Linked DNA regions of Elephas maximus indicus. The protein of the gene in region 2 purifies or fractionates together with the protein of the main gene of each other region. This does not show direct contact. Links are inferred from orthologs where the notes say so. Each region holds a gene or a part of one and is shown on either strand. Other genes may lie near its edges.

What was found.
Region 1: the proteins of CSNK1D (region 2) and PER1 purify together in Homo sapiens (affinity purification with mass spectrometry; 4 studies listed by BioGRID and IntAct, counting the BioPlex papers as one, with this or other methods). This does not show direct contact. The link is inferred for Elephas maximus indicus from reciprocal best matches to the Homo sapiens genes CSNK1D and PER1.
Region 3: the proteins of CSNK1D (region 2) and AKAP9 purify together in Homo sapiens (affinity purification with mass spectrometry; 4 studies listed by BioGRID and IntAct, counting the BioPlex papers as one, with this or other methods). This does not show direct contact. The link is inferred for Elephas maximus indicus from reciprocal best matches to the Homo sapiens genes CSNK1D and AKAP9.
Region 4: the proteins of CSNK1D (region 2) and FAM83D purify together in Homo sapiens (affinity purification with mass spectrometry; 4 studies listed by BioGRID and IntAct, counting the BioPlex papers as one, with this or other methods). This does not show direct contact. The link is inferred for Elephas maximus indicus from reciprocal best matches to the Homo sapiens genes CSNK1D and FAM83D.

Annotation. Positions count from the first base shown.
Region 1 is NC_064837.1:12,620,687-12,627,880, forward strand, and holds the start of PER1 (period circadian protein homolog 1), read left to right. Parts: upstream 1-4,184; 5' UTR 4,185-4,284; intron 4,285-4,498; exon of another isoform or gene 4,499-6,635; intron 6,636-6,643; exon of another isoform or gene 6,644-7,194. Other genes in the region: VAMP2 (vesicle-associated membrane protein 2), read left to right, coding at 1-18, 113-232. UniProt on the Homo sapiens protein: Transcriptional repressor which forms a core component of the circadian clock.
Region 2 is NC_064837.1:72,069,108-72,076,313, forward strand, and holds the start of CSNK1D (casein kinase I), read right to left. Parts: upstream 3,010-7,206; 5' UTR 2,412-3,009; coding exon 2,318-2,411; intron 1-2,317. UniProt on the Homo sapiens protein: Essential serine/threonine-protein kinase that regulates diverse cellular growth and survival processes including Wnt signaling, DNA repair and circadian rhythms. It can phosphorylate a large number of proteins.
Region 3 is NC_064826.1:61,954,016-61,961,823, forward strand, and holds the start of AKAP9 (A-kinase anchor protein 9), read left to right. Parts: upstream 1-4,800; 5' UTR 4,801-5,016; coding exon 5,017-5,064; intron 5,065-7,808. UniProt on the Homo sapiens protein: Scaffolding protein that assembles several protein kinases and phosphatases on the centrosome and Golgi apparatus. Required to maintain the integrity of the Golgi apparatus. Required for microtubule nucleation at the cis-side of the Golgi apparatus.
Region 4 is NC_064843.1:30,577,825-30,585,253, reverse strand, and holds the start of FAM83D (protein FAM83D), read left to right. Parts: upstream 1-4,422; coding exon 4,423-4,899; intron 4,900-7,429.

The DNA.
Region 1 (7,194 bases), about 59 Mb from region 2:
TGGTGGAAAAACCTCAAGGTAAGGGTGGGGGCGGGCTGGGGGGCGGGTAGGAGGGCTGCTGGGCGAATGGGGGTAGCATAGGTTGTCTCATGGACTCCCCTCTTGCCCCCAGATGATGATCATCCTGGGAGTGATTTGCGCCATCATCCTCATCATCATCATCGGTGAGTGGGGAGTGGGTGGCCAGGGCCCTTTCTCTGGAGAGGTTTCCCCTGTGGATCCTGGGTTTTGAAGGTCATTAACATTGTTTTTACTATTCAGCAAAAAACATACATAGCTGCCAGTGGCAGTTCTGATTCATCTAGATCCCCAAACCTGATGTTGTTTAGCCTGCACTTTGCCTGGCTTTGGGCGATTTCTGTTAAGATTTTGGAAACAGGAAAGCTGGTGGATCCCTACTGCTCCCTTGAAGACCCTTTGGGCCTTGAGAGCCCAGGCTGAGTACCCTGGAATTGGGGAGTGGGAGAGCAGGAGAGGCCCAGGAGCTCAAGATTAGAAGCCAACCACCCCACTCTTTGAGAGCTTGTGGGCTCAGAGACCTAGAGGACTAGGGGTCTGTGGTCCCAGGGCCATACCATGGAGTTAAAGGGACCTCAGAAGTTGCCTGTCCAGCTCCTTGCTTTTATAGATGGAGAACCTGAGGCCCAGAGAGGGAAAGGGACGTCAGTCAGCCGGGGAGTGGGGAGGACTGGAGCAGGGCCAGGCCTGACACACTGCTTTCTTTATCTTTCTCTCTCTCTCCCTGCTCCCCCTTCCTCCTCTTTCCCTCTCTCCACAGTTTACTTCAGCACTTAAACCCCTGAGGAGCCTGCCCTGCCCAGAGAGGGGCCTCTCCTCCTCCCCCCAGCCGCTCCTCCACCTCTCAGCCATATCTTCCAGCCCCTCCCCTGAATCCGTGTGTGTGTCTGTGTGTGTCCCCTTGTAAATAGCCAGCTGTTATTTATACATATATAATATTATATATATTTGGTCTGTTTGTAGTTTTATTACTAGAAGATTTTTCCGGTTGTCCTTAACACTCCTTCCTGAGGTTCCCATCACCTCCTCTCTTTCTTTCCTTGCCTTCCCCTCCTTTCCCCCAAGTCCCTTCATTTGCATCTGCTATGCAATAGTCCCTCTTCCTTTCCTTTCCTTTCCTTGGATTTAGCTGATCCTTCTTCCTACCCAGGCCTTCCACTCATCCCCACTCCACCCAGCCCTCCCCTCAAAACAAAGTGCAACTGTCCAGACCTCCCTAGGTGCATCTCCTCTGCATCCATTGGGAGGCTCTGAGACTGGCCCCACAGGGTTCTAAGAATCCCAAGGTCTTCTGGGAAGCTTCCAGCATGTTTATTAGCATATCATTTGCATACTGACATCTCTGTTGGTTTCTTTTTTGTTTCATCACTCTTCACCCATGTTTCTTTTTTACTGAGGAGTCCCCATTGGTTCTCGTATCACGCTTTCATTTTCATGGCATTACTTGCAGGTGGTGGGGAGCCTGAGCTTTTGGGGAACCAGGCTGTTCTGGTCCCCAGAATTGCCCTCTCTTAACCCCTCTAGTCCAGTTTGCCTCCCTTACCCCCATTTTCCAAACCTCTTGGCCCCTCTTCTCCGTTCCCTGGCTGGTGTATGTGTCTTGGAGTTCAGTGTGTTATGACGGACCAATATAATTCTGCCACTCGGGGTCTCTACCCACATTCCTGCTCCCCAGTTTTCGAGTGGGGAGCTCAACTGACATTCCCATGGGGTCTCCCTCCCTCCCATCTGCCTGATTCACCTTCTCCTCCCACCAGGAGAGTTGGGGGTTGGCCACATCTGATCTCTTTTGGGAGGGGTGGCTACCAGTGTTGAGGGGCTATCATTGCCTTGGGGAGGCATGGGGCAGGGCAGAGAATCCCCTCAATTCCTGCCTAAAATCTCCTCTGGTCCCACCCCTGCTTGGGGGTAGGACTGAAAACCTTTCCTTCTGGGGAGTATTGCCCCCATCACTGCCCAGCTCCTCAGACTGCCCCGCTGGATGCAGGGTGGGAGTACTAGTCACTGCCAATGCGTGTTGGGACTTGCTGGAAGTTGGGGATCCTCTGTCCTCTCCAAGTGGTAGAGCCCAGAGAGAGCGCTGTCCCTTCCTTAGGTGAAGTGGTAGATGAAGGGTCAACTGTCTTTTTAAATGGCACAATTTTAGGGGTCTGAGGGCTCAGTCCCTTAACCTGCCACTGGAGGGGGGCCCCCCAAACTTTTTCTTCCCCCACACTTGAGGTTTTCTGTGGGGGGGGGGAGGAGCAGGGACATCTAAGTTGTGGTGTGAAGGGTAGGGAGAGATGCTGGGGTGGGGGCACTGTGTTCTAGACCCCCCATATTATCCCAGTGTCCCCTGCCCCCCTCTTCCCCTCTCCTGTGCCCCCAATTCTGTGGCGCATCCAGATTGTGAAAATGTACAATAAATGTGTGATGAGTAACCAGGTGGTGTCTGTTTTAAGATCTTTTCTTAACCAGTGGGAAGGATTCTGGATCTGTTGGTATACCTGGAAGATTGAAAAGAAGGGACTGGGCTTTGCAGAAGGGCCCGACCTTGGGCAGTGCAAAGTGTGATTCCCAAGTTGGCCACGTGGGGGGAGCACCAGGAGTTGGTAACGGGGGAAAAATGTTCATGACAGCTGTGTCCCTAAGCCTGGTGAACCGTTCAGGCTGGGAGTCCCAGCTTTCCATCTCCCTATCACCTGGAGCATGCTTCAGCTGTTGGATCCCCTTCTGTCCCTAGATTTAACTCCTAGGTGCCCTGCAGGCACTCCTGTGGCCACTCAAGTATATGACCAGCTTGTCTGAAGCATCTCTTTCTCCTTTGTGTCTAGCACAGTGTCAGCACTCAGAGGCGTTAACAAATACTTGTTGAACTGATTAGCTTAGGGAGACCCACCTGAGCGTGGCCTGGAGCTGGCTTTCGAGGACGTACTACCCCTGCACACCCGCACATTGTGCCGACTGACTGGTGACTCCAGACTCCACACCTAACTCCCATGACGCCCCTATCCGATGTGGTACCCCATCATCCCTGTCCCTAGACACTTCAACAGTGGGTGGGAAGTGCTAGGTAAGCTCTGGAGGGCCGGGCTTCTCTGAGGAACCAGCATTACAGAAAACCTAGATAGCGTTTCCCAAACTTGCCAGCTCCTTCCCTGGAGATTTTGATTCAGCGGTTCTATAAAGCAGCCCAGGTGATTTTTATAGTTAGGTACACAGTCATTATACTGTCCATCATCTATTGAGAGCTTCCTGTGTGCCAGAGACCTCTCAGGGCCATCTACCGAATCCTCCTGGGTTTAGGGTTCCCATAGGTCCTAGAACTCGCTTTCTCTGTGGTATAAGGGCACTGGGCTCAAATCTCAATCCCTCCACTGACTAGTGTGTTACTCTGGGCAGATTATGAAACCTCTCAGGACCTCAGTCTCCTCATTTGTGAGGCGGTGGGTAGTTAGTGAGCCTGCCTTTTTGGGATTTGTGAGAAGCGCCTGGCGCGGCCCACAGAAAGCGCTCAATCAATAGGCAGCTATCATCTTCATGGCCATCCTCATCATGTGGTGCTGAGATCTGAAGACCGCTTCACCCCCTAATGCTCGCATCTTCCAGCTTCCGGACCCTCAAGGACCTAGGGCTGGCGCCCCAGCGCAGGAGGCGGTGTTGTCACGCCCGGCAAGGCTCGACCCCGTCTCGGCACAACGCCCTTTTCCCGATGCCTTCACCTACGCCAACGCCGCTCTCATCTGCGCCTGCGTGTAGGTCACGCTCACTGCGCCTGCGCAGACTTCGCGGTCCAGGCTAGCAGTGTCGTCAAGGAAAATCCCCAGCTTCTAGGTAAACAAGTTGCCGCGTGAGCCCGCCGGCACGTGTCGCCTACATCTCCGAGACCTCTCAGCCTATGAGAAAGCTTGGCGAGCTAGACCGACGTCTGCGTCACCGATCTAGGCGACTCGGGGGTATGTTTCTACAGCCAATGAGAACGTCAGAAGTGAATGGGGGCGTGGTTTCAGGTCAGGCTTCCAATTAACGCGGTGGGGCGGTCCTTTTCGCACGTGGATCTGTCACTGCCTATTGGCAGGCGAACCAATCAGAAGATGACAGCGGCCAGCAGTGCCAATGGAGGCTGTGCGGAGGCCGGGCGGCTGCACGCGGCGCGGGGCATGGGTCGGCTCCCTTAGGCCAATAAGCTTAGAGGGCGTGGCAATCCGGCCGGTGGGCGGGGCTGGAGGAGCAAGTCCTAGTCGCTGGTTCCACTTGAAGGAAATTGAACTCTGTGCGTGCCCAGCGGTGAGTGTCCCGGGGATGAGGACGGCAGTTGGTATCGGTTTTTCCAGGAGGGTGTGTTCTGTCACAAGGGGTGTTAATGGAGTGGAGCATCTGCAAATGCGAACGCCGCGGTGGGAACTCTGATGGTTGTGGGGAATAGGGGCCGCGAACCAGAGAGCTCTGGAAGAACGGGGAGAGGGGAGTTGGGGGGTGGGCGTCTCTCACATTTAATTGCCTTCTGCGCTTCTGAGGGAGCTAAGGTCCCTGCTCCCGGGGAGGGACGGGGGCGGGACCCATGAGAGCTGACGGTGGATGTTTCAGTGCGTGGCCGCTGTTTGGGTAGCTGCCTACGGACTTGAAAGACGCGGGGGTTCTAGTAGGGCGGGAAGGAGGATACCGAAGGGTTGACATGGTGACCTGAGAGAAAGAGTGGTGTAGTGGTTTTTGTGACTGGGCCAGCAGATGTGTACGGTTTGGGAGAGGGGGGAAGCCAGTGCCAGAAGCTGCATATCACGTCTCTGGTCCCTTTGTCATGTGTAAGAGGGAGAGATTGGGCCTGAGAGGCATCCTTGGGGGTAGGGGCAGGAGAACAGCTATGGGGTCTGGAGGTGGAGGATGGGGCTGGGGTTTGTGCAGATCGCCTGTACACGTGTCTTCCTGATCCCTTGGATGTGGGGAGGCACCAATAGCGTGTCTGGTGTCGGTGCAAACAGCCAGGCAATGTGGCGATAAAGTGGCCTGGGGTAAGGTGGGAGAGTGAGGAAGTGGGATCCCAGGAAAGCATTGGGGCTGGTGGCTTCTAGGATGATCTCAAGGACTTCGTGAGCACATGAGAACTGGGGATATGATGTTTAGAAGGGTGTGGGCAGTGCAAACTGAATGTCTGTAGATGGGGCCCAAGGAGGAGAAGGAGGAGGATTGAGTCTGTGTTCTAGACACAAAACTTAGAGTTGGCTTAGAATTTGAGAGACCTAAGTTTCCCAGCGCTGGCGTGCAGCTTAGAGGTTGGGTAATACCTCACCGGTTTCTGGAGGGTTGGAAGCCAGAACGACAAGCCGCTATCAGAACGCAGACTTGAGCTCCTTTTGTTAAGAGCCTGAGAACATTTTATGAGGCAGACAATTGAGGCATTTAGTAACTTCTAAGCCTTTTTTTTTTTTTTAAGCCTTAGTCATTTGCAGTGGAATGGGGATAATACCCATCTCATGAGGTTGTTAACGGAATTAAATAAAATGATATATGTGAAGTGTTTAGCCCAATGCCTGGGCCATGTTTAAAAAAAAAGGTAGCTGAAAAAGATGGCTATAGAGCCCTAATCTTTCTGAAAAAAAGAAAGAAAACCAGTGACAGGGTGAGAGATTTATGTGACTGTTGTGGCTGGGAACTCTTCTCACATTCTCAAGTCTTTTTGGTGCCTCCCTCCCTCTTCCTTGATCCTTCTGGTCCTCAGGCAGCAGCCCAAATTCCCTCATTCCTCCTTCTATTCTTCTCCCAGGATCCAGGCTCCAAGCTGGGCCACTTGCTCTGTCCCAGTTCGATTTCCTCGCCCTATTCACACTCTCCTCCCTTCCCCCCCCCCCCGCTGCCATGGTAACATGAGATTCAGGCTCGGAAAGGGGGCCTCTGGGAGGGAGCAAAGGTACTTGTTCTCTGGCAGAACCTAGGCCTCCAGTTTCCCCGCCCTGACTCTTTGGCATTGGGCCAGCAGATGTGTACAGTTTGAGAGGGGAACCCAGTGCCAGAAGCTGCAGGAACAAGCCGAAGGGAGGGTGGCTGCGAGTCCTGAGAAGAGAGCCAGCGTGTGTGTGTATGGGGGGGGGAACCCCTTTCCTCCTAATCGTCTCTCCAGGAATCCCTGGCTTTGGGACAGAAAGGCTGTCTTTGGCCTGAGGGGAGGCGCCCAGGCTGGGTACATGTCCTGGGCCACCAGCCAAGGGAACATGATGTTCCTAAGTACGCTGGCCGCCGCCCTCGGGCTGGCCGCCTCCCAAACCGCTGCCTCTCCAGCCTCCCTGCCCCACATTCCCGGGCTGCCTCGCCCCGCCTCCTACCTCCGCTTTGACGTCACCACTGCCTCCCGCCCCCTCGCCTCCTTTGACGGCAGCAGGGCCTGGTTACTGTGGGGACCGTGAGGCAGGAAGGCCAAGGCCTTGGGAGCAGGTGGGGGCTGCTGGAGCGCTAAACCCTCTTGCCTTTCCAGAAGATAGATACGGAGGTGGCGTTAGGAGAGCAAGGCCTGCCCGGGTCAGGAGGCACTGAGGGCAGGTTGGGGAAAGATCACACCTAAATCCTTGGGGAGAGCTGAAGAAGAAAAAGGATGTTTCTAGAGAAGAGGTGTCTGAAAGCGAGAGAGCCACAGTCGAGGGGGAGCAGTAAGTATATGAAATGGGGGAAGCATTTTCAAGGAGAGGGGATTGAGCATCCAGGCTCTTGAAGCCTTTGTTCTCTGTGTTTTTCTGCTTCGGTCTTTCTGAGTTGTTTTATAACACCTCTGTATCCCAGCTTTTGCACTGAGCCCTCCTCCGAGCCCCACCCCATGGGGAACACCATTGTTAAGGAAAGCTTAGGCCATGTGACAGTGACGCGAGCACACCCACAGCTGATTATGTCAGCAGCAGCTTGGGGGCCTCTTCACTTGCCACCCACATCCAGGGAACCCTGAGAGGTACTACTCATCACAGTCCTGCAGATCAGGTGGAAGGGGCTGAGGGCTGTATAATGCAGCTCTCCTGGGCCCAGCTTGGCATCTTATTCATCCACATCAGGCCCCTCTTTGCTTTCTAGGACTCGGTGTGCAGCTCCCCCACCTTTTCAGAAATTTTCATATCCTGCCGCTTCTCCATTGCTGAAGCCTCTCCCCTCATCTCTGTCTCTCCTTGTTAACAACAGGATGATCACTTACTATGTGCCAGGTCTTGATCTGGGTCCTGG
Region 2 (7,206 bases):
ACAGCCTGTGGCCCTCCCTCAAGCTCCATCTGCACAGCAGGCAGCTAGAGAAGGTCGGCCAGCACTGGGTCTTCTTGCTCACAAAGTGCTCAGCAAACACAGGGACAGACTCCCCTCCCCACATTTGCAAACACCTACAAGCACTGAAGTCCGAGCTAGACCCCCAAAGCCTGGAATGCCAGTCTCAAAACAAGGTGAACCCTACCTTGAGCAGTTCAGAGCTATCTAATGTCAGAGTGGCGGCAACAGGAATGCTTTTAACCAGAATCTTACTAAATTCCTATGACCAGCTTTTCAGGATGAGGCCCCAACTCAATTGCCTAACTGCCTACACGAATGGGAACCAATAACATGGATGACTCAATGTACCTCACAGTGCTGGCCCAGCCTCTTGGACTCTTCACCACAGTATATGATGATTTTGCTCTAACCAACTGACCTAGCCATGTCTTACTCAAGCTAACAAGATCTCTTCACATTTCCTTGGTGGGGCAGCATGTAGCCTCCAAGAACATAGACTGTGAGCCAAAACCAATGCTGACTAACTAGAAATTAATCCGTCCTGCCTAGCCCCAGACAGGAGCCCTGGTGGCACAATAGTTAAAAGCCTAGCTGCTAACCAAATGGTCAGCAGTTCAAATCTACCAGCCACTCCTTAGAAACCCTATAGGGATAGTTCTACTCTGTCCTATACGGTCACCATGAATTGGAACCAACTTGACAGCACGTTACGACAACAGGCCCACACAAGTCATGGGCTGCCTAGGTGTGCCAATCCAAGTGTCCGGGAGCCACAGTGCACCACCTCAGAACACACAAAGAGGAGAAGCCTGAGAACAGACCCCTCGGGGCCCATCCCCCACCTGTATTAAACACCCACGCTGGGTTTAATATGAGGGAGGCCCAAAGGACACCACGGCAAATAAGCAGACAGGGTTCCCGCTCCAAGCTTCCAGCCCTGTGAGAAGAGGGCACCCCTCTGTGAACGACTCAGTGAAAACAATTCGGCAACTTAATGGTCTGAATTTATCTTCTGAAAGCACAAAGCTGTTTGGCAAGATCTCAGATCAGAGAACAAAAAGTTTCAAATCATCTACTTCTGATGCCCGTGTAAGGCTGGATAATGCATTGGCTTTTCAGTACAGCTCCCAGATCTGAGATTAAGACTTTTGCCAAGATCTCCTCCATAAATAAGGCAAACAGCTTGCATTTACCCAGCACTGCACTCCCAAACAGGCTGAGAACGCACCCAATGACTCCTTCGGTATAAATATTTAAACAGCAAAATCCAAGCATCTCTACAGCAGCCTTTCTTTAGCAGGCCAGTAAGGCAGAAGTATGGCCCACAGGCATCCACCCAGCACATGATGAGTTACCCTGGAGGTTAACCAGGCACCAAGAGCAGTGGGGGAGCTCCCCAAACATGTTAGCCACAAGGTCTTGGATCTCCTCCTCAGTAACAAGGGGAGGGTGGGGGTGTCAGCACAGACTTGGCTAGTCTGAAAAGCCAACAGAGAATCACTGTACACCCAGGAAGAAGACAGCGGTTCCTGGCCCTCCCTAACAGGCACACGAGCCAAACAGAACAGCCAAAGCGGGCTGCTCAACAACAGGCCATGTTTACCCTGAGGTTATGCAACAATTCTTCTGCACACTTGCCGGCACGCCAGGCTCATGTTCTCAAGTTCAGGAAGCTTGAGAAGCTTAGACACAACATGCTTGCTTGGGAAAATGCAGAAAAACTTGGTTATTTTTCAATTCCCAACTTTAAGATTTCAGCCATTCTTTTATCATAAGCCTGTGTATATACGTGCTTTTTTAAAAATCCCAAACACTTCAGCTGAAGCTTGAAAATTCTAGAGCCCTGGTTGCGCAATGGTTAAGCATTTGGCTGCTTACCAAAAGGTCAGCAGTTCAAATCCACCAGCCCCTCCGTGGAAACCCTACGGGGCAGTCCTACTCTGTCCTATAGGGCTGCCATGAGTCAAAATTGACTCCACAGCAATGGGTTTGGTTTCTGAGCATCCCAACAGCCAAATGCCAGGCTCAGAAACACAACTTTCTTCCTACTTTATCAGCCTGACTTTGTCCACAGTAACCTAACTCTTCACCTCTAGGCACCTTGCTTTGGCCTCACTTGATGCTCAACCTGTCCTCAGCGGTCACCCCGAGCCCCTACGCTGGGCTAAGATGCAAACAAGAGTGCTCTCAAAGCCTCCCTCCAGTCTCAGGGGAACTAAGGTCACAGCCCAGAGAGGACCCACCGAGGCCCATCCTGCAAAAGGCAGGAGTATAAAGCAACAAGAAACCAGAGTACCTAGGAACACAGCCACAGGATGTCCCACCTCCAACCGCATTCCAGTTGTTCTGACATTTTCCCCACGTGTGTGAGACGCAGCCGTGAGCCCCATGGGGGCTGCGGAGAAGGAGCCGTGGCCTTTACTTGTAGGCGACAGGAGGGCGTGGGGACGAGCACAGCCCGACCCTACAAGGCCGCAAGGTGGCCGGGGGGACAGCGCCTCGGGAGCTCGCCGACGCCCGAGACTCCCACGGGGCGCTGCCCCTCTCGGCCGCAGCTGTCCAGGCCCTGCCCACGCCACCCGCGGCACAGCTACTTCCGGCCGGCGACTGGGACTCGGGGCGCGGGGGCCGAGAGCGGGGCCGGGCGGGGGTCAGGGACCGGGACCGAGGGCGGGACTGCGCGGGGGTCAGGGCCGGGGACCGAGACTGGGGCCGGGCGGGGGTTAGGGCCGGAACACGGGCAGCCCCCGCCTCCTCGGCCACCAGGCCCTACAAGCGCCCCCAGCTCCCGCGCCCGGCCAGCGGAGCCCCCTTTTCCGGCCTCTTGGACGCCAAGCTCGGTCTCGAGCTGTCGGGGGGTGGGGGGTCTTGACACGGGGCGAACCCAGTGAACCGGGCGCGGACAGGAGTCCCCCCGCGAGGCCCCGGACCCCGGCGCCCCGCCCCGGCGCCCTCGGGGCCGGGGGCTCGCCCTCGGGGGCCGAACGCCGGGTTGGGGTCGGCTCCCGGGGCGGGGGAGGGGCGCGGGGGGCGGCAGGGGGGCGCCGCGGCCTCACCGAGATAGATGTCTCCGAAGGAGCCGCTGCCGATCTTCCGGCCCAGCCGGTACCTGTTCCCGACTCTCAGCTCCATGACTGCGGCCCGGCTCGCTCCTGTCTTCCCGGCCGCTTCCTGGGTCTGAGCTCCGGTGAGGCGGCGCCCCTGCTGCCGCTACTGCGGGTCCGGCTCCCGGCTCCGCCCCCCTCACGGCCCCGCTTTCACCATCGCTTTCCGGCCTCCCCGCCGCTCCCAGCGCCTCAATACGGGACGGATGGGACAGTCCGAGTGCCGCCGCCCCTGCTCCGGCCCCTGCCGGCCCCTGTGGTCCTCTCCCCGCCGCGGATGGACTCGGATCTTCCGGGCCTAAATCCCCCTTCGGCTGCCTAAGAGAGCCGCCGCCATGGCGCTGTGACGTCACTTCCCCTGGCAACACGGAGGGGCGGGGCCGCGCCGCTCGAGGGGCGGGGTCGGAGCGAGGCGGGAGGGGGCTTTGGGTATGGACTTTATTTAAAATTTTTATTGTGCTTTAAGTGAAAGTCTACAAATCAAGTCAGTCTCTCACACAAAAACTTATATACACCTTGCTACTTACTCCCAATTGCTCTCCTCCTAATGAGACAGTCCGCTCCCTCCCTCCACTCTCTCTTTTCGTGTCCATTTCTCCACCTTCTAACCCCCTCTACCCTCTCATCTCCCCTCTGGGCAGGAGATGCCAACATAGTCTCAAGTGTCCACCTGATCCAAGAAGCTCACTCCTCACCAGCATCCCTCTCCAACCCAATGTCCAGTCCAGTCCATGTCTGAAGAGTTGGCTTCAGGGATGGTTCCTGTCCTGGGCCAACAGAAGGGCTGGGGGCCATGACCACCGGGGTCCTTCTAGCCTCAGTCAGACCATTAAGTCTGGTCTTATGAGAATCTGGGGTCTGCATCCCACTGCTCTCCTGCTCCCTCAGGGGTTCTGTGTTGTGTTCCCTGTCAGGACAGTCATTGGTTGTAGCCGGGCACCATCTAGCTCTTCTGGTCTCAGGTTGATTGTACTCTCTGGTTTCTGTGGTCCTTTCTGTCTCTTGGCCTCATAATTACCTTGTGTCCTTGGTGTTCTTCATTCTTCTTTGCTCCAGGTGGGTTGAGACCAATTGATGCATCTTAGATGGGCGCTTGCTAACGTTGAAGACCCCAGACACCTCTCTCCAAGGTGGGATGCAGAATGTTTTCTTAATAGGTTTTATTATGCCATTTGACTTAGATGTCCCCTGAAACCATGGTCCCCAAACTCTGCCCCTGCTACGCTGGCCTTCAAAGCATTCAGTTTATTCAGGAAACTTCTTTCCTTTTGGTTTAGTCCAGTTGTGCTGACCTCACCTGTATTGTGTGTTGTCTTTCCTGTCACCTAAAGTAGTTCTTATCTACTATCTAACTAGTGAATACTCCTCTCCCACCCAGGGTATGGACTTTTGATCAGGGTGAGGCTGGGGGTACAGGCCTTGGGATAGGGTGGAATGGGGGGGACGCTTAGGGCATCTGATCAGGGTGAGGTGGGGGCTTTGGCCATGGGGAAAGGGTGGGGCAGGAAGCTTGGGCACCTGGGCGGGCCGGGGCAGGGGGCTTTGGGCATCCGGACAGGGCGGGGTGGGGGGCGTCTGGGCGGGGCGAGCGCACTGAAGCCTCCTCCTGGGGCTCCTTCCTCGCCCCGCCCCCAGACCCATCCTGCGCACCGGCTCCACGTGCTCGCGCTGGGGCGTTGTGTGCCCCCGGCAGGTCTAGGAAGCCTGGGGATCCTACGGACAGACCTGGGCGGGGCCCTAACGCTGTCCTTTTGCGGGATGCAGAGATGGCACTAGTTTTTTTTTTTTTAGAGAGGGCCAGAGTCTGTCCCTCCAGCCCTGGACCTGCGCCACCGGGGTCGGCAGGTCCGCTGAGGCACCCAGGCGGGATGCAGGTGTGCGCTGGCCTTGTGGTCCTGCCAGGGACATCTACTGGTCCGTCCCTCCAGGAGATGCCAGTTTCTGGATTTAGGGGGCTTGGGAATTGAGTGCCTGTAGCCTTCTAACACCTCCTACACCCCTGGAACTCAGATATAAAGCAAAGGGAGGAGTAGGCCACCCAGGACCCAGGTCAGGGGGCCCTACTGGGTGAAGGCTGGGTTGATGCAAGCAGGCCTCCAAAGGGCGAGCTGACACCACCTCTCCAGTGCCATTGCCTGGGCCCCAAGTGAGCATCTTTACCTCATCTGCCTGCATCTGGATATTTTTAATTGCAAAATAGTGCAGGATGCTCAGGCACCAAGTTGGAACTCTTGACTCGGACCATTGGGAACAGCCTACCAGAGTGGCCCCCAAGCCCAAGCAAGCTTCTGTAGACACCTCCAGGGGCAGATGACCCAGTAAGCAAGGTAAGCACAGGCTTACTTATGCTTGCTTACTAATGTGTAGTGAACAATTTCACACGGGTGATTGGGTTATCTGTCTCTGTCAGGGATTATAAGTTTGAAAAGAGGCTTTGTAGGAAGGTGCTGTGGGGTTGGGAGAGAGACAGATGCCAGCCACACCTAGAAGCACAAAGTTTGATGTGGTGAGAAAAACGTGCTTACCTTTCCTATTGAATAACCCGCCCCTCCCCGCCAACCCCCAGCTAAAAAAGAACCATGAAATGGGTTGATGAAACGCACTCCTAAACATCCAGCAGGCATCCCGCTGGGCACAGGGTTCACAGAGGCTAAAGAGAGGGCATGGAGGGTGCGCTGGCCCCTGGCACACAGCAGAGCTGCCTTTTCCCACTTGGAAGTCTCCCGTCTCTGCCTTCAGCCTCAGGCATGCAGCCCTCACCAAAAATAGTTGGAAGTCCAGTAGTCCAAACAGCCTCGGACTGGTACAACAACAGATATATAGACCAATGGAGTAGAACAGAGAATCCAGACATAAATCCATCCACATATGAACACCTGATATTTGACAAAGGCCCAAAGTCAGTTAAATGGGGAAAACACAGTTTCTTTAATAAATGGTGCTGGTATAACTGGATATCCATCTGCAAAAAAAAAAAAAAAAAACAAGACCCATACCTCACACCATGCACAAAAACTAACTCAAAATGGATCAAAGACCTAAATATAAAGTCTAAAATGATAAAGACATGGTGTAAACAGTATACAAGACATTACTAACAATGTGCAAACACCAGAAGAGAAACTAGATAACTGGGAGCTCCTAAAAATTAAACACCTATGCTCATCCAAACACTTCACCAAAAGAGTCAAAAGACCTGACACTGCCCTTTTGCAGGATGAGGAGAGAGCCGGAGTCTGTCTCTCCAGCCCTGGACCCACGCCACCGGGCGTCTGCAGGTCCTCGGAGGCACCATCCCTACTGGCCCCCGGAGGGGTAGTATCCAGGTACCAGGCCTGGCCACCTGGCAGTCCAGCCTGGGAAAAAGTTTTTAGCTATGACATTTCCTATCAGCATCTGATCTCTAAAGTCTGCATGATACTGCAAAAACTCAACAACAAAAAGACAAATAACCGAATTAAAAAATGGACAAAGGATATGAACAGACAGTTCACCAAAGAGGACATTCAGGCAGCTAACAGATGCATGAGGAAATGCTCACGATCATTAGCCATTAAAACCCACTGCCACCGAGTTGATTTCGACTCATAGCGACCCTATGGGACGGAGTAGAACTGCCCTGTAGAGTTTCTAAGGAGCACCTGGCGGATTTGAACTGCCGACCTTTTGGTTAGCAGCTGTAGCACTTAACCACTACACTACCAGGGTTTCTGAAATGCAAATCGAAACTGCAATGAGATACCATCTCACTCCAACAAGGCTGGCATTAATCCAAAAAACACAGAATAATAAACGCTGGAGAGGTTGTGGAGAGACTGGAACACTTATACACTGCTGGTGGGAACGTAAAATGGTACAACCACTTTGGAAATCGATTTGGTGCTTCCTTAAAAAGCTAGAAATAGAACTACCATATGATCCAGCAATTCCACTCCTTGAAATATATCCTAGAGAAATAAGAGCATTTACATGAACAGATATATGCACACGCATGTTCATTGTAGCACTGTTTACAATAGCAAAAAAATGGAAGCAACCAAGGTGACGATCAATGAATGAATGGATAAATAAATTATGGTAT
Region 3 (7,808 bases), on a different chromosome or scaffold from region 2:
TCACTGTACCAAAAAGAATTGATCGACATACAACTATTGGTCAACCTTTCAGGAGGTAGCATATGATCGAAAACCGATGGTACTAAAAGCAGCAGCCCAAGCTGCACTGAAACCATTGGCAAAAAACAAGGATCAAGGAATTGATGGAATACCAACAGACGGATGCAATGCTGGAAGCACTCTCTTGTCTATGCCAGGATATTTGGAAGTCAGCTACCTCGCCAACCGATTGGAAGAGATCCATATTTGTGCCCATTCCAAAGACAGGTGATCCAACAGAAACATTTGCAGCTGTACATCAACAAGGACCTGCTAGAAATTCTAGCCCAATTCAGAAGAGGACCCAGAACAAGGGATATCATTGCTGATGTCAGATGAATCTTGGCTGAAAACAGGGAATACCAGAAAGATGTTTACTTGTGTTTTATTGACTATGCAAAGACATACAACTGTGTTGATCATAACAAATTATGGATAACATTGTGAAGAATGAGAATTCCAGAATACTTAATTGTGCTCATGCAGAACCTGTACATAGACCAAGAGGCATTTGTTGGGGATACTGCATGGTTTAAAATCAGGAAAGGTGTATGTCAGGGCTCTGTCCTTATACCACATTTATTCGATCTGTATGCTGAGCAAATAATACGAGACACTAGACTATATGAAGAAGATCATGGCATCAGGATGGGAGGAAGACTTATCAACAACCTGCGATATCCAGATGACACAACCTTGCCTACTGAAAGCAAAGAGGACTTGAAGCAATTACTGATGAAGATCAAAGAATATAGCCTTCGGTATGGATTACACATCAACATAAAGAAAACAAAAATCCTCACAACTGAACCAGTAAGCAAAACCACGATAAATGGAGAAAAGATTGAAGTTGTTAAGGATTTCATTTTGCTTGGATCCACAATCAACACCCACGGAAGCAGCAGTCAGGACATCAAAGTACAAATTGCATTGGGCAAATCTGCTGCAAAAGACCTCTTTAAAGTGTTGAAAAGCAAAGAATGTCAAGGTGAGGCCTAAGGTGTGCCTGACCCAAGCCATGATATTTTCAATTGCCTCATATGCATGAGAAAGTTGTACAATGAATAAGGAAGACCCAAGAAGAATTGATGCCTTTGAATTATGGTGTTGGTGAAGAATATTGAATATATCATGGAGTTCCAAAAGAATGAACAAATCTGTCTTGGAAGAAATATAGCCAGAGTGCTCCTTGGAAGGAGGATGATGAGACTTAGTCTCACGTACTTTGGACATGTTATCAGGAAGGATCAGTCCCTGGCGAAGGATATCATGCTTGGTAAAGTAGAGGGTCAGTGAAAAAGAGGAAGACCCTCAATGAGATGGATTGACACAGTGGCTGCAACAGGCTGAAGCATAACAAGCATCAGGCAGTGTTTTGTTCTGTTGTACATAGAGTGGCTATGAGTCAGAACCAACTGGACAGCACCTAACAAGAACAACAACAATCTTTACGGAAGCCGACTGCCCCATCTTTCTCTCACAGAGCGCCTGGCAGGTTTGAACCACCAACCCTTTCAGTTAGCAGCACAGCGATTTATTCACTATGCCTCCAGGGCTCCAGGAACTCAAGGCGATTTCCTTAAAAAAGGGTTGTAAGCATAGTGGGTACTTAAAGTTTCACAGACTCTTGGCTGAAACAGAAGAGACACTTAAGGATTAATTACTTGATATTTCTTTTCATATTTAAACTAAATGTATTTTTACTGTAAACACTATATGGACCCTTGATACAACTCTTTTGGGGGCTCACTTAGTTTACATTCCATGACTGTTTGGCAATATGAAAATCCTTCAAGGTGATGTCAGTATATATTTTATTACTCAGTAATCCAGTGCAGTGTCTTGAATTACAGGTTTATAATTCCTTATCATGATAATAGTAACATCTTAGATTTTTTTAACAGTTCATTAGATTATAAGCCACTTCAAATGTGTACTAGTTTCCTAAGTCATGAATTACATTTTCAAAAAATGTTATTGTGGCAAAATACGTATAACAAGTTTGTCATTTTAACCATTTGTAAGTGGACAATTCAGTGACATTACATTCAATATGTTGTGCTACCTTCACCACTTGCCGTTTCCAAAATTTTTTCAGCACACTAAAGAGAAACTTGTAAACCCTGGTGGCGTAGTGGTTAAGAGCTATGGGTGCTAACCAAAAGGTCAGCAGTTCAAATCCACCAGGTAGTCCTTGGAAATCCTATGGGGCATTTCTACTCTGTCCTATAGGGTCACTATGAATTGGAATTGACTAGACGGCAATGGGTTCGTGTTTTTTTTTTTTTTTTTTTTTGGTTTTAAAGAGAAACTCAGTACCTCTTCAGCAATAACTGACTCCTATTCCCTCCAGAACAGGCAAATTTCTATGCATTTGCCTATTCTGGATTTTTCATATAAGTGGGATCAGAGAATAATTTGTCCTTTTGTGTCTGACTTATTTCACTCAGTATAATGTTTTCAAGGTTCATCCATGTCAGAACTTCATTTCTCTTTATGACTGAATAATATTCCATGGCATGTAGGTATATATCACATATTGTTTAATGGACACTTGGGTTGTTCCTACCTATGCATTATTTTTTGAAATCTTAACACCAACAAATTTGTCATAAGTGTTATTTAACACATTCTGTTTTTGTATGCATATTTTTATTCTAGTACTCATTTTGTTTGGAAAGCAGTTTAGTAAAATGGAGTAAGACTTGAGTCAGGAAGTCTGGATCTTAATCCAGCCAGGACTTTTGCTACCCAACCATGGGAAGTCAAGCAAGTCATTTTAAATGATTAAAATGACCATTCAGGCCTTCATAAAATATGGAAGAAAAATCACTATGCTCCCTCCTATTTTCTTTATTTATATACCATTGGTGCCCTGGTGGTGCAGTCATTAAAGAGCTAGGCTCCTTACCAAAAGTTTGGCAGTTCAAATCCACCAGCTGTTCCTTGGAAACCCTATGGGGCAGTCCTACTCTGTCCTGTAGGGTCACTATAAGTCAAAATTTATTCAGCAGCAACAGGTTGGATTTTACATACCATTCACCTATATTGTTGTTCTTAGGTGTCATCAAGTTGGTTTTGATTCATAGTGACTCCAGATGACAGAGTAGAACTGCCCCATAGGGTTTCCTAATCTGTAATTTTTTTTCTTTTTACTGGAGGATCCCTGGTGGTGCAATGGTTAAGTGCTCAGCTGTTAACTGAAGGGTTCTTGGTTTGAACCTTGGAACCGCTCCTTGGGAGAAAGAAGTGACGATCTGCAGTGGTAAAGATTGCAGCCTTGGAAAACCTATGGGGCATTTCTACATGGTTCTATGTTGTTGTTGTTGTTAGGTGCTGTTGAGATGGTTCCGACTCATAGTGACTCTATGTACCACAGAGGAAAACACTGCCCAATCCTGTGCCATGCTCACAATCCTTATGCTTGAGCCCATTGTTGCAGCCACTGTGTCAACCCATTTCACTGAGGGTGTTCCTCCTTACCACTGACCTTGTACTTTACCAACCATTGTGTCCTTCTCCAGGGACTGATCCCTCCTGATAACATGTTCAAAGTACGTAAGATGCAGTCTCGCCATCCTTCCTTCTAAGGAGCATTCTGGTTGTACTTCTTCCAAGACAGATATGTTCATTCTTTTGGCAGTCCATGGTATATTCTGTATTCTTCGCCAACAACATAATTCAAAGGTGTCAGTTCTTCGGCCATCTTTATTCATTGTCCAGCTTTCACATGTGTATGATGCGATTGAAAATACCATGGCTTGGGTCAGGCACACCTTAGTCTTCAAGGTGACATCTTTGCTCTTCAAAACTTTAAAGAGGTCCTTTGCAGCAGATCTGCCCAATGCAATGTGTCTTTTGATTACTTGACTGCTGCTTCCATGGCTGTTGATTGTGGATCCAAGTAAAATGAAATCCTTGACAACTTCAATCTTCTCTCCATTTATCATGACGTTGCTTGTTGGTCCAATTTTTGTTTTCTTTATGTTAAGGATTTTTGTTTTCTTTATGTTGAGGTGCAATCCATACTGAAGGCTGTGGTCTTCGCTCTTCACCATCAAGTGCTTCAAGTCCTCTTCACTTTCAGCGAGTAAGATTGTGTTATCTGCATATTGGAGGTTGTTAATGAATTTTCCACTAATCCTGATCCCCTGTTCTTCTACATACAGTCCAGTTTCTTGTATTATTTACTCAGCATACAGATTGAATAGGTACAGTGAAAGGATACAACCGCCAGGGCTATCACCACTTTTCCTCCGGGGATTTTCAGCGTTTATCAGTTTCACCCTGGTGGCACAGTGGTTGAGTGCTAGGGCTGCTAACAAAAAGATCAGTTGTTCTAATTCACCAGGCGCTCCTTGGAAACTCTATGGGGTGCAGTCCTATTCTGTCCTGTAGGGTCTCTATGAGTCGGAATGGACTTGACGGCAACGGGTTTTAAAAGCGACCACTGAGTCCGTAGGACGGCGAATGGGGGCCGGGCTGGGTACCCTCTGTCAGACCTCGTCCTCACCCCACCCACCCCCAACCCCGCCGCAACCTGGGAGCCGTTCATCCCTGGTGAGGACCAGGAAGGTCTAGGGTCGGGAGGGCGCCGTCTCCCGCCCGCCCCTCGCCGGTAGGTGGCGGGGGTTGCCGGCCGGGGTCGCTCCCAGGGCGGCGCGCGGCTCAGGGCCGCGGGCGCACCTGCCTGGTGCGGCGAGGCTCGCGGCGGCTGCGCGGACTGACGTGCCCCCCCTCCCGCCCGGCCGCGTGTTTACGTGGAGACGAAGATGGCGGCGGTGGTGACGGCGCTGCCCGTGCGGTCGAGGACTACCCACCAGTGAGCGCGGAGACTTGTTCGACTCGGGGCGGGGAGCGCTGGGCCCGGCCCTGCTCCTTGGGCCCCGGAGCTGGCCGGGACCTCCGTCTGAATCGACCTTTCCTTTCTACCCTCGATCCCTTTCCCGTCTTCCCCCACCCTTCTCCGCAGAGGCCATGGAGGACGACGAGAGACAGAAGAAGCTGGAGGCCGGCAAAGCGAAGGTAGGAAAGCCGGGCGCAGCCGGGCCCGCGGTGGGAGGCGGCGCCTGGAAAGGGGTGGTGGAGGGGAGCCTGGGAAGCGGAGATCGCAGCAGCCCCAGTGCGCTCGCTGCCTGGGAGGAAGGTGCTGCAGGGTCTTTATTTCCCCCCGCCACCCTCTCCCCTTTTTCCACAGGAGAAAAAAGCCCTGTGCTACCATCTAGCAAATTAAAAAAAATGCTTCCGTAATGATTGGATCGTGTGGCTCTTTCTCGTGAATGCGCAAATGAAACGCCTCTTTTACTATATTGCTATTAGCTAGTATGTATTGCCTCTAAATCTCCAGCTTTTCACTCTTTTAGGTTGTTTTCTGGGTGGTGCAGGCATTGTGCTTTTCTGGGTGGGGATTTGGGGCTTTATTCGGTGGGGGATTTGTGCGCTGATCATCAGCTTGGCTTCTTTAGGTGGCACGCTGGCACTCTTGGGTGTGTGTGATTGGCCTGTGACAGCTGCCACAGCAGTGGCTTGAGGGTGCCACAAGTGCCAGCTGTGAACTTCGCTTTAGGGGCGTTTTTAGAAGCGTGCTTTATATGTTTGCGTTTGGAGGTCTTTGTCATGGCATGCGCTTTTGTATTGTGTGGAATGTTAATGCAGTCTGTGAATGGAAAGATTCCATATCCTCAGCAATAGCTATAGAATTCCTGCTTTAAATACTGTTTTAACGGTTTGTTGTGTTTGTCTGGGTGAGTCGCGATTGTGTGTGTGTGTATGCATGTATGAAAAAGCCTGTAAAGAACACAGTATAAAACTATAAATATATCACTCATTGGGCATCATGAAAAAATTGACATAGACAAAATAGAAATTAAATAGCATTTTTCTTTAAAAAATTACATGTTTGAGCATATCATTTGTCCTCAAAGGTCCTCTTCTCCCTACAATGGAGCTACCTTTTATAGATTGTTTTAACTGTCTTATTGGAGGTAATTGTTAGCAATCATGATTGAACCACAGTTAAATTATAACATAGTTGGCTGTTTTTTGTTTCTTCCTTCTCTTCTCCAAATAGACAAACAAAGGAAACCTGGTCAATGGTTTTGGTAATCAATGAAGAACCAATACTGCAGAAATGCATTAGTTAGATGCTCAGCCAAATTTGTTAATGAATAAGTATGTGAGCTAACTTCCTATCACTACAATATAGTTCACTTTTTCACATGTTCACTCTAAGGTCAAGGCTTAAGGAGCTATGGTGGCACAGTGGTTCGGCTGCCAACGGAAAGGTCCCTGTTCCAATGCACAGGCCCCTCTGCAGGAGAAAGATGTGGCAGTCAGTCAGCTTCTGTGAAGAGTTACAGCTTGGTGAAGCTACTTGCAGAGATCACTTTTCAGCCAAATAATAGACAGGCCTGTAAAATAAACAGTTAACACCTGTGAGGAATGTGCTCCTTAGAACAACCAACTATATGAGACTAAAAAGAGCAGCATTTGCCCAAAAGCAAAGAAGGGGAGGCGGGAAGGGGCAGGGAAGCCCAACGCATGGAAACAGGAATCCAGGGTGGAAATGGGGAGAGTACTGACACATTGTGGGCATTGCAACCAAAGTCACAGAACAATTAATGTGTGGATTATTGAGTGGGAAACTAGTTTACTATGTAGACTTTCACCTAAAGCACAATAAATTTATTTATTTTTTTTTTTAATTTAGAGCTTAGAAACCCTATGGGGCAGTTCTACTCTGTCCTGTGGCATTGGGTTTGGTTTTTTGGTTAAGGTCAAGGTTTAAGTGCTTATAGGTATATGAGTAGATTATTATTTTAGAATCTATAAATGGAGGGAAAGAGGAATCAGGTCATCTCCAGAAGCCCAAAGTTGATTATATTTGTAAGCAACCTGAGGATCTGAGCAAGCTCTATGCACCCAAGGAAGTGGGACTTAAGTGCGTGCCCCCTTCCAAAAGCGTTGAAGTTCTATTTAGACTTAATTATTGAATCTTGTCTTTTACCTCAGAATTTTTACTGTCTGCCCCCAGAATTATCTTTTCTAATATATGTGAAGCAGTCCTATACAACATAGTTTACTTTGGACAAAAACATCTCAAAATAGAGGACTTATAGTATGGTTGATTTGGCAAAATAGAATTCTAGTTTCTGTGTATACGTGTGTTGTCTTTCAAAATTCTATCTATTGGAGTAAAAATCTTTATATTTCAACTTTAGTTTTTACTGTACAAGGTTATCTTTTTGAGTTGAGCCCAATATTTCTGTTGAGAAGTAGATCTGTGAAACTTGTCAGGCAAGGTATGTTTGCAACATGAGCTTTACAATATAAAAACACTGGAAGCAACCTTCAAAGACAACATTAGGAGATTTTCTAAGTTATTTATAAATGCAGTGGGATAGCTTGTAGCTTTAAAATATTATGAAGACTGGAACATGGAAAATAGAGTGAAAACAGCATTATCAAAAATAGTGTATACATTAGTATTTTAATTATATAATAATGTGTGCTTGCAGATTAGGACCAAAAGACTCTTTTATAAAGGAAAAGCAAATCAGCAAATGTTGAAGTCCTGTCTTATACCAAGGGATGGAAATAGAGAGGTGGCGACACGGTCCCTGCTCTCAAGAGACTTACAGTTTAGCGGGAGAGACAGACCTTGTGTAATAAGTACAATGACAGAAAAGGTGCATTAGGATTTTGGGTTATTTTTTTCATTTGTGAGAATGTGTTAAATGCCGCTACCTCATCTTTAAGAATATTTTACA
Region 4 (7,429 bases), on a different chromosome or scaffold from region 2:
AGGAGGTTGGTGGTTCAAACCCACCAACAGCTCTGCAGAAAGAAGACCCGACCATCTGCTCCCATAAAGATTACAGCCTAGAAAACCCTATGGGACAGTTCTGCTCTGTCACATGCGGTCACTATGAGTAAAAAATTGACTGGAAGGCACCCAACAAAAATATATAGAGAAAAAGAGACACACACATCCTGGGCGATGAGAACTGTTAATGCGTGTGCTCAGCTGCTAACCAAAACGCTGGTGATTTGAGTTCACCCTGAGATACCTTAGAAGAAAGGCCTGGTGACCTACTTCTGAAAAATCAACCACGGAAAACCCCATGGGGCACAGTTCTATTCCGACACACAGGGGACTGCCATGAGTCGGAGTTGACTGGATGCTAACTGGTTGGGTTTTACTTATAACAAAACTGTTGCCGTCAAGCCTATTCTGACTCATAGTGACCCTATAGGACAGAGGAGAACTGCCCCATAGGGTTTCCAAGGAGCGGCTAGTAGATTCGAACTGCCAACTTTTTTGGTTAGCAGCCGAGCTCTTAACCACTGTCCCATCAGGGCTCTGGTTTTATATATGTCGTTAGGTGCCATTGAGTCGGTTCCAACTCTTAGCGACCCTATGTACAACAGAACGAAAACACTGCTATGTCCTGCGCCAACCTCATAATTGTCGTTATGCTTGATCCCATAATTGTAGCTGTTGTGTCAATCCATCTGTTGAGGGTCTTCCTCTCTTTCATTGATCCTATACTTTACCAAACATGATGTCCTTCTCCAGGGACTGGTCCCTCCTGATAATGAGTCCAAAGTACTTGAGACAAAGTCTCTGCAGCCTTGCCTCTGAGGAGCATTCTGGCTGTACTTCGTCCAAGAGAGACTTGTTTGTTCTTCTGGCAGTTCATGGTATATTCAGTATTCTTCACCAACAGCATAATTCGAAGGCATTAATTCTTCTTCCATCTTCTTTATTCATTGTCCAGCTTTCCCATGCATATGAGGTGACTGAAAATTCCATGTTTTGGATCAGTCCTCAAGGTGACATCTTTGTTTTTTAACCCTTTAAAGAGGTCTTTTGCAGCAGATTTGGCCAATGCAAATCGTTTGATTTCTTGACTGCTGCTTCCACAGGCATTGATAGTGGATCCAAGTAAAACGAAAATCCTTGATAACTTCAATCTTTTCTCTGTTTATGACGATGTTGCCTATTGGTCTAGTTGTGAGGATTTTTGTTTCCTTTATTTTTAGGTGTAATGCATACTGAAGGCTGAAGTCTTTGATCTTCATCAGTAAGTGCTTCAGGTCCTCTTCCCTTTCAGCAAGCAAAGTTGTATCACCTGCATAATGCAGATTAATGAGTCTTCCTACAATCCTGATGCCATGTTCTTCATACATAGTCCAGCTTCTTGAATTATTTGCTCAGCATACAGATTGAATAAGTATGGTGAAAGGATACGACCCTGATGCGTATCTTTCCTGACTTTAAACCACCAAGTACCGCTTGTTCTATTGGAATGACTGCCTTCTTGGTCTATGTAAAGGCTCCTTATGAGCACAATTAAGCATTCTGGAATTCCCATTCTTTGAAATGTTATCCATTATTTATTATGATTACACAGTCGAATGCCTTTGCATAGTCAATAAAACACAGGTAAACATTTCTGGTATTCTCTGCTTTCAGCCAGGATCCATCTGACATCAGCAATGATATTCCTTGTTCCACATCCTCTCCTGAATCCGGTTTGAATTTCTGGCAGTTCCCTATTGATGTACCGCTGCAACCAATTTTGAATTATCTTCTGCAAAATTTTACTTATGTGTGACATTAGTGATATTATTCGATAATTTCCTCATTCTGTTGGATCACCTTTCTTTGAATGGGCACAAATATGGATCTTTTCCAGTCGGTTGGCCAGGTAGCTGTCTTCCAAATTTCTTGGCATAGACAAGTGAGCACTTCCAGTGCTGCATCTGTTTGTTGGAACATCTCAGTTGGTATTGCTTCAATTCCTGGAGCCTTGTTTTTCGCCAATGCCTTCAGTGCAGCTGGGACTTCTTCCTTCTTTACCATCAGTTCTTGATCATATCCTACCTTCTGAAGTGTTTGAAAGTTGACCAATTCTGTTTGATGCTTTCTGCATCATTCAATATTTTGCCCATAGAATCCTTCGATATTGCAACTTCAGGCTTGAATTTTTTTTTCAGTTCTTTCAGCTTCAGGAATGCCATGTGGTTCTTCTCTTTTGGTTTTGTAACTCCAGGTCTTTGCACATGTTGTTATAGAAGTTTACTTTGTCCTCTTGAGGTGCTCTTTGAAATCTTCTGTTTAGATATACATCTAAATCTCCCACATTTCAAAGGTTTCTCTAGTGACATATTTATGTATAACAGGGGTGCCCCTCTTCCTTGTTCCCTTTTTGGAGTATATTAACTTGTCCTGTCCCCTTCCCCTCCGCCCCATCCTAGTCCTTATCATATAACTTATACTGGGGAGGTAAAATACTATATAATTCTTCACCTTATTAAAACAATTCAGCACATAAGACCCTGGTTATTTTCATTTTTATTTCAGGGAATAGAGGCATTGACAAGCTACGCAGTTGCATACCCCCTGACCACAGGCCTTGTCCTTGTCATATGCAGAAGTTTATTGGTGTCTCAAAAGAGGATGGAAAGGTGCTCTCTTCCATTCTTCTGGACGTTGGGTTCCAGAGCAGGGACACACAGAAGGCCCCACATGTGGGCTTAAAAAATTCACAGCCAGGCTGGGGATGAAGAGAGGATGGGAAGACAGACATGTCTTAGGAGCGGCTGGCATTCATTCCTTGTAAAAATTTATTGGCTCCTACATAATAAATGATAACTTGGCTCCTACATAATAAATGGTAACCTCTCACGTTTATGAAGCACTTTCCGGTTTTACAGATCCTCTCTTTTACACAAAGAAGATGAGGTCTGACCATTGACTATTGGGTTTAGCAACAGGAAGCTCATTGTTGACCTTGACAAAAGGTTTTGATATAGAATGGTAGGGACAGCAACTAATAATAACTACAAGTAGGGACATAGACTGAAGGTTCAAGTGAGGCTTGGAGGAGGAGAATTGGAGACAGCAAGTACAGACGACTCTTTCAAAGGTTTATGCAGGAAAACGGGAGGTAGCTCTAGAGGGATGTAGAGTCAACAGGGCATTGTTTTAAGACGAAAAGTACTTCAGCACGTTTGTATGCTGATAGGAATGAACCAGTAAAGATGGGAAAACGATGATCCAGGAGAGAATTGCTGGAGAGAGATGGGCTAGTAGTGGATGCGGGGAGCTAGTGCCCAGATGGAAAGGCTGACCTCAGCCAGGCCCACGGACAGTCCTCATAGTAAAAGGAGAGAAAGCAGATTATGTAGGCAGAGATACAGACAGGCAGGGCCATGTGGACATTCTCTTCTGATTGCTTCCATTTCCTCAGTGAAATAGAAAACAAGTTATCATCTGAGAGTCAGAAGGAGAGGGGAAACGGTAGAGTGAATGAAGAGGGAAATCCCAGGCTAGCAGGCAGCCTTAAAGCACCACTTGAAATCACAAAATCATGAATTTAGAGCGGGAGCAGTAAGCACAGTTGTGTGTTTTTCTCCCGCCACGTGTTCAGGTGCAGATGGAAAGTAAACAGAGAGTTGAATTTAACCAATCAGGGTTGGGGATTTGCCAGGCAAAACGATGAAGTTAGAGAAAAACAAGCTACTTGAAGGTGTAATCAAAGGAACGGTTATTACGAGGAACCGGTATTTTTGGCATGAATAAATTGATAATTAAATCCAGGGGATTAAATCCACGGCTGGTCGCACCAAGCTCTGGGATTCTAGGAGCAGCGCGGTCAGCGTGCGCGGGGGCGAGAGGCAGGTGCCAGTCTCTCTTCTAGGTCTAAGCCTGACTGCCCCGTGGCCAGGTAGGAACGAGCTGTGGAGTGGGCCGGCAGGAGGCGCGCTAAAATGGCCAGGGCCGAACCCTCGGGTTCCGCGCCCGGAGCCGCCACCCCGGGCAGCATGCCGGCTCAGGCCTAGGCCGGGCCCTCTCTCTCCAGCAGGTAAGGCGGAATTCTGCCTCCTGCAGACAGCGAACAGTAAACTAAGTTTAAATCCCGCGAAGCAACCAGCAGAGCATGGGCTCGGAAGCAACCGGCAGCCAATACCGAGGCGCGGAGGGAGGGCCGGCCTGTGGGGCAGCCAATAGCACATCAGGGGGCGGGCCCGTGGCGGGGCTTGCTCCGGACCGATTCTGCCTCTGGGTGAAGGGCGGGGCGGGCCAGGATCACAGCCAATGGTAGAGCGGGACGGCGCAGCCCGGCCAATGGCGCGGGCCGATTTGATTCAAAGGTGCCTATAAAGGCAGGCCCGCACGCCCGCACTCACCTGAGCGTGGCTCTTTAAGGTTGCTGCGATGGCTTTGCGGTCCGACGGCCTGGACGAACTGCCCGCCGCCTGCCTGTCGCCGTGCGGGCCGCCCAACCCGGCCGAGCTGTACAGCGAGGCGCGGCGCTTGGCGCTCGAGGAGTTGGTGACCGGCGGCCCCGACGCCTTCGCGGCCTTCCTGCGACGTGAGCGCCTGGGCCGCTTTCTGAATCCAGACGAGGTGCACGCCGTTCTCAGCGCGGCCGAGCGGCCAGGCGAGGAGGGCGCGGTGGCCTGGGCCGAGGACTCCTTCGGCTCGTCCCACGACTGCTCGTCCGGCACCTACTTCCCCGAGCAGTCGGACCTGGAGCCGCCGCTGCTCGAGCTCGGCTGGCCTGCCTTCTATCAGGGCGCCTACCGCGGGGCCACGCGCGTCGAGGCGCACTTCCAGCCGCGCGGCACCGGTGACCGCGGCCCCTATGGCTGCAAGGACGCGCTGCGTCAGCAGCTCCGCTCGGCGCGAGAGGTGAGCGGGCCGCCTCGGCCCCCGTACGGACGGGAGACCCTCCCCAGGAACGGGAAACTGTGGCCTGCTGGGAGCGCGGGCCGGGCCCCGCTCCCTCTGTGCCCTGTGTCTCCCCGCGAATCCCCGATCCCCCGGTCTCTCCTTGTGGCAGCGGAGGATGGGAGTAGCCTCGGTCCCTGGAATGCGAATTGTACCTGGCGCCTGCACCGCTCTCGCTCTCCCCCAACGGGAGTTCTCCCCGGGTTCCAACTCCCAACAGCCATATCCCCTGAGGGAGGGACCAGAAATACTTTCAGTTCCAAATTTCAGATGAAACCAAACCAGATCGCCAGCTTTCCTGGCTGTCAGCCTACAGTAGATCCCACTTTCCGGGGGCTTCTTTTTAGACACATAGGAAAGAAGTGCATTTCCTAGAGAAAGGTTCTTTAGAAATGTATTGACCTTAGAAACTATTATTGCTGGTCACTTCCACTTGCCTTATATTGCAAAAAGCAAATAAATACATGAAAGGCAAAGTAGAGCCCTGCCCCTTCCCCCCCTGCCATATACCTGAGGGGAAGTTGCTTCTTATGTGAATGGATGGGGCAGGGGTTTGGCTTTTCCATAGGCCGAGGCTGCGCCAGTTAGCTGTAACCAGTTGCCATCAAGCTGATTTTGACTCATGGTGACTCCAGTGTGTCAGAGTGGAACTGTGCTCCATAGAGTTTTCAATGGCTGATTTTTTAGAAGCAGATAGCCAGGCCTTTCTTCAGAGGTGCATCTGGGTGGACTTGAATTGCGCCAGCCTCTACCACTGTAAAGGAAACTCTGGTGGTGTAGTGGATAAGTGCTACAGGTGCTAACCAAGAGGTCAGCAGTTTGAATTCTCCAGGCGATCCTTGAAAACTCTATGGGGCAGTTCTACTCTGTCCTATAGGGTTGCTATGAGTGGGAATGGACTCGAGGGCAGTGGGTTTTCATTAAGCAGCCAAATGCATTAACCATTTTCATCACCCAGAAACTCCCAGTTACAAGTGGCCTCCTAAAGTGCAGATACCCCTGCACTGTAGGTCAGCCCCACTGGTCACAGTGTGGTGTGGTTTCGGGGTGCAGAGGGGAGCTCTTGTCTCCCTGCCAGCCAGGATGACACTGCAGCAGGGTGCTGGGCACCTGGGAATCCAGGAGGAAGAATGCAGCATGCAACATGAATTGGGTAGATACACGTGGTGGCAGACACCTTAGTCCAGAGCCGTAATTAGCTGTTCCCTTGCTTGCTGACGGGCAGTGCCCTGCTCTTTGGCTATCTTTCTGGGCCAGGAACGTGGCAGGTAAAGTGAAGGCAGCGGTGAGATACATGACTGGAACCTGCGTGTCTGACCCTGGATTAAAATACCTGTGCAGCTTGTCCGATGGAAATAGCCAAGTCCAGAGCGAACTGTGACCCTCCCGAGTTTCTGATGTTGGTTGTTCTATACCTGACTGCAGAGCCAGAGGTCACAGTGCTAGTGGATACAGTGAGCTAGTGCCTTGCCTTTGGGCGAGTGGGTGTGGGGTCCAGGCTAGGCTAGTATCAAGCCTGTTGTGCATTGAGTGGGCTGAGGACCCTTTTGATACAAAAGACACTTGTGGGTTCAGTGAGAAGATAAAGGATGGAAAAGGCAGAACTGTGGGGGTGGCATGCAATCCCAAAGCTCACCTTCAGGAGGAGAACTTGAGCACTTGGAACTTGAAAAATGTGTTGAACGGGCCTCCCTGAAAGAGAGCTATGGATAGCCCTAGCCTCTTCCCCAGTTCTAATTTTTGGTAGCAGCGAAGCGGGGGCCCTGGAGCTTAAGGGCAGAGGGAAACTGTTCTGAGAACTCACGCCCGGCCTTGGAGGGGGATGGGGCTGAAGCTCAGATTCTTCTTGGTGCTCGGGGCATTTTGAAATACTGACACACTAGGACCTTTCTATCCTGGATAGAACCTCTTGCCCCACGGCTTGCCCTTTTGTGGCCCTAGTCCAGATAGACAGGCTTCTGTCTGAGATTCTGTATTTGGAACCTGGGCAGTATTTTGGTTTGTTTTGTTAGCTAGGGGTTTTTGTGTATAATTTGTTTTACAAACTTTCCTATGTAAAACGGTTGACTGAGCACTTTAAAAACAACATTTTACTGTGTTTTCAGTAAAGGTTTACACAGCAGTTTAAGTTCCCGTGCAACAATTTCTACACACATTGTTCGGTGACATTGGTTGGAACCTGGGCAATTTTAACTGAGAAAGGTGGTACATTGCCTTTAAAGTTAAGTGAATACCTTCAGTGTACCTCCCATATGCCAAATTATTTGCTTACTCAGTACCTGCTACCTGTCAGGCATTGTGGCCAGAGAATGGGGCTGCAGGTGGAGGGCATATCCTTGCCTGCACTTGAGAGTTGAGTCTGCTGGTGGGAGCCTGAAGAGGTTGCTGCAGGCTCTGCTTGGGGGAGAGGGCTGAAGAAAGAAAGCCTCAGGTGTAGTGGTGACTGGGTGCTGGGGTCCAGGAGGATGGGCAGGGCTTGCCAGGCTGAGAG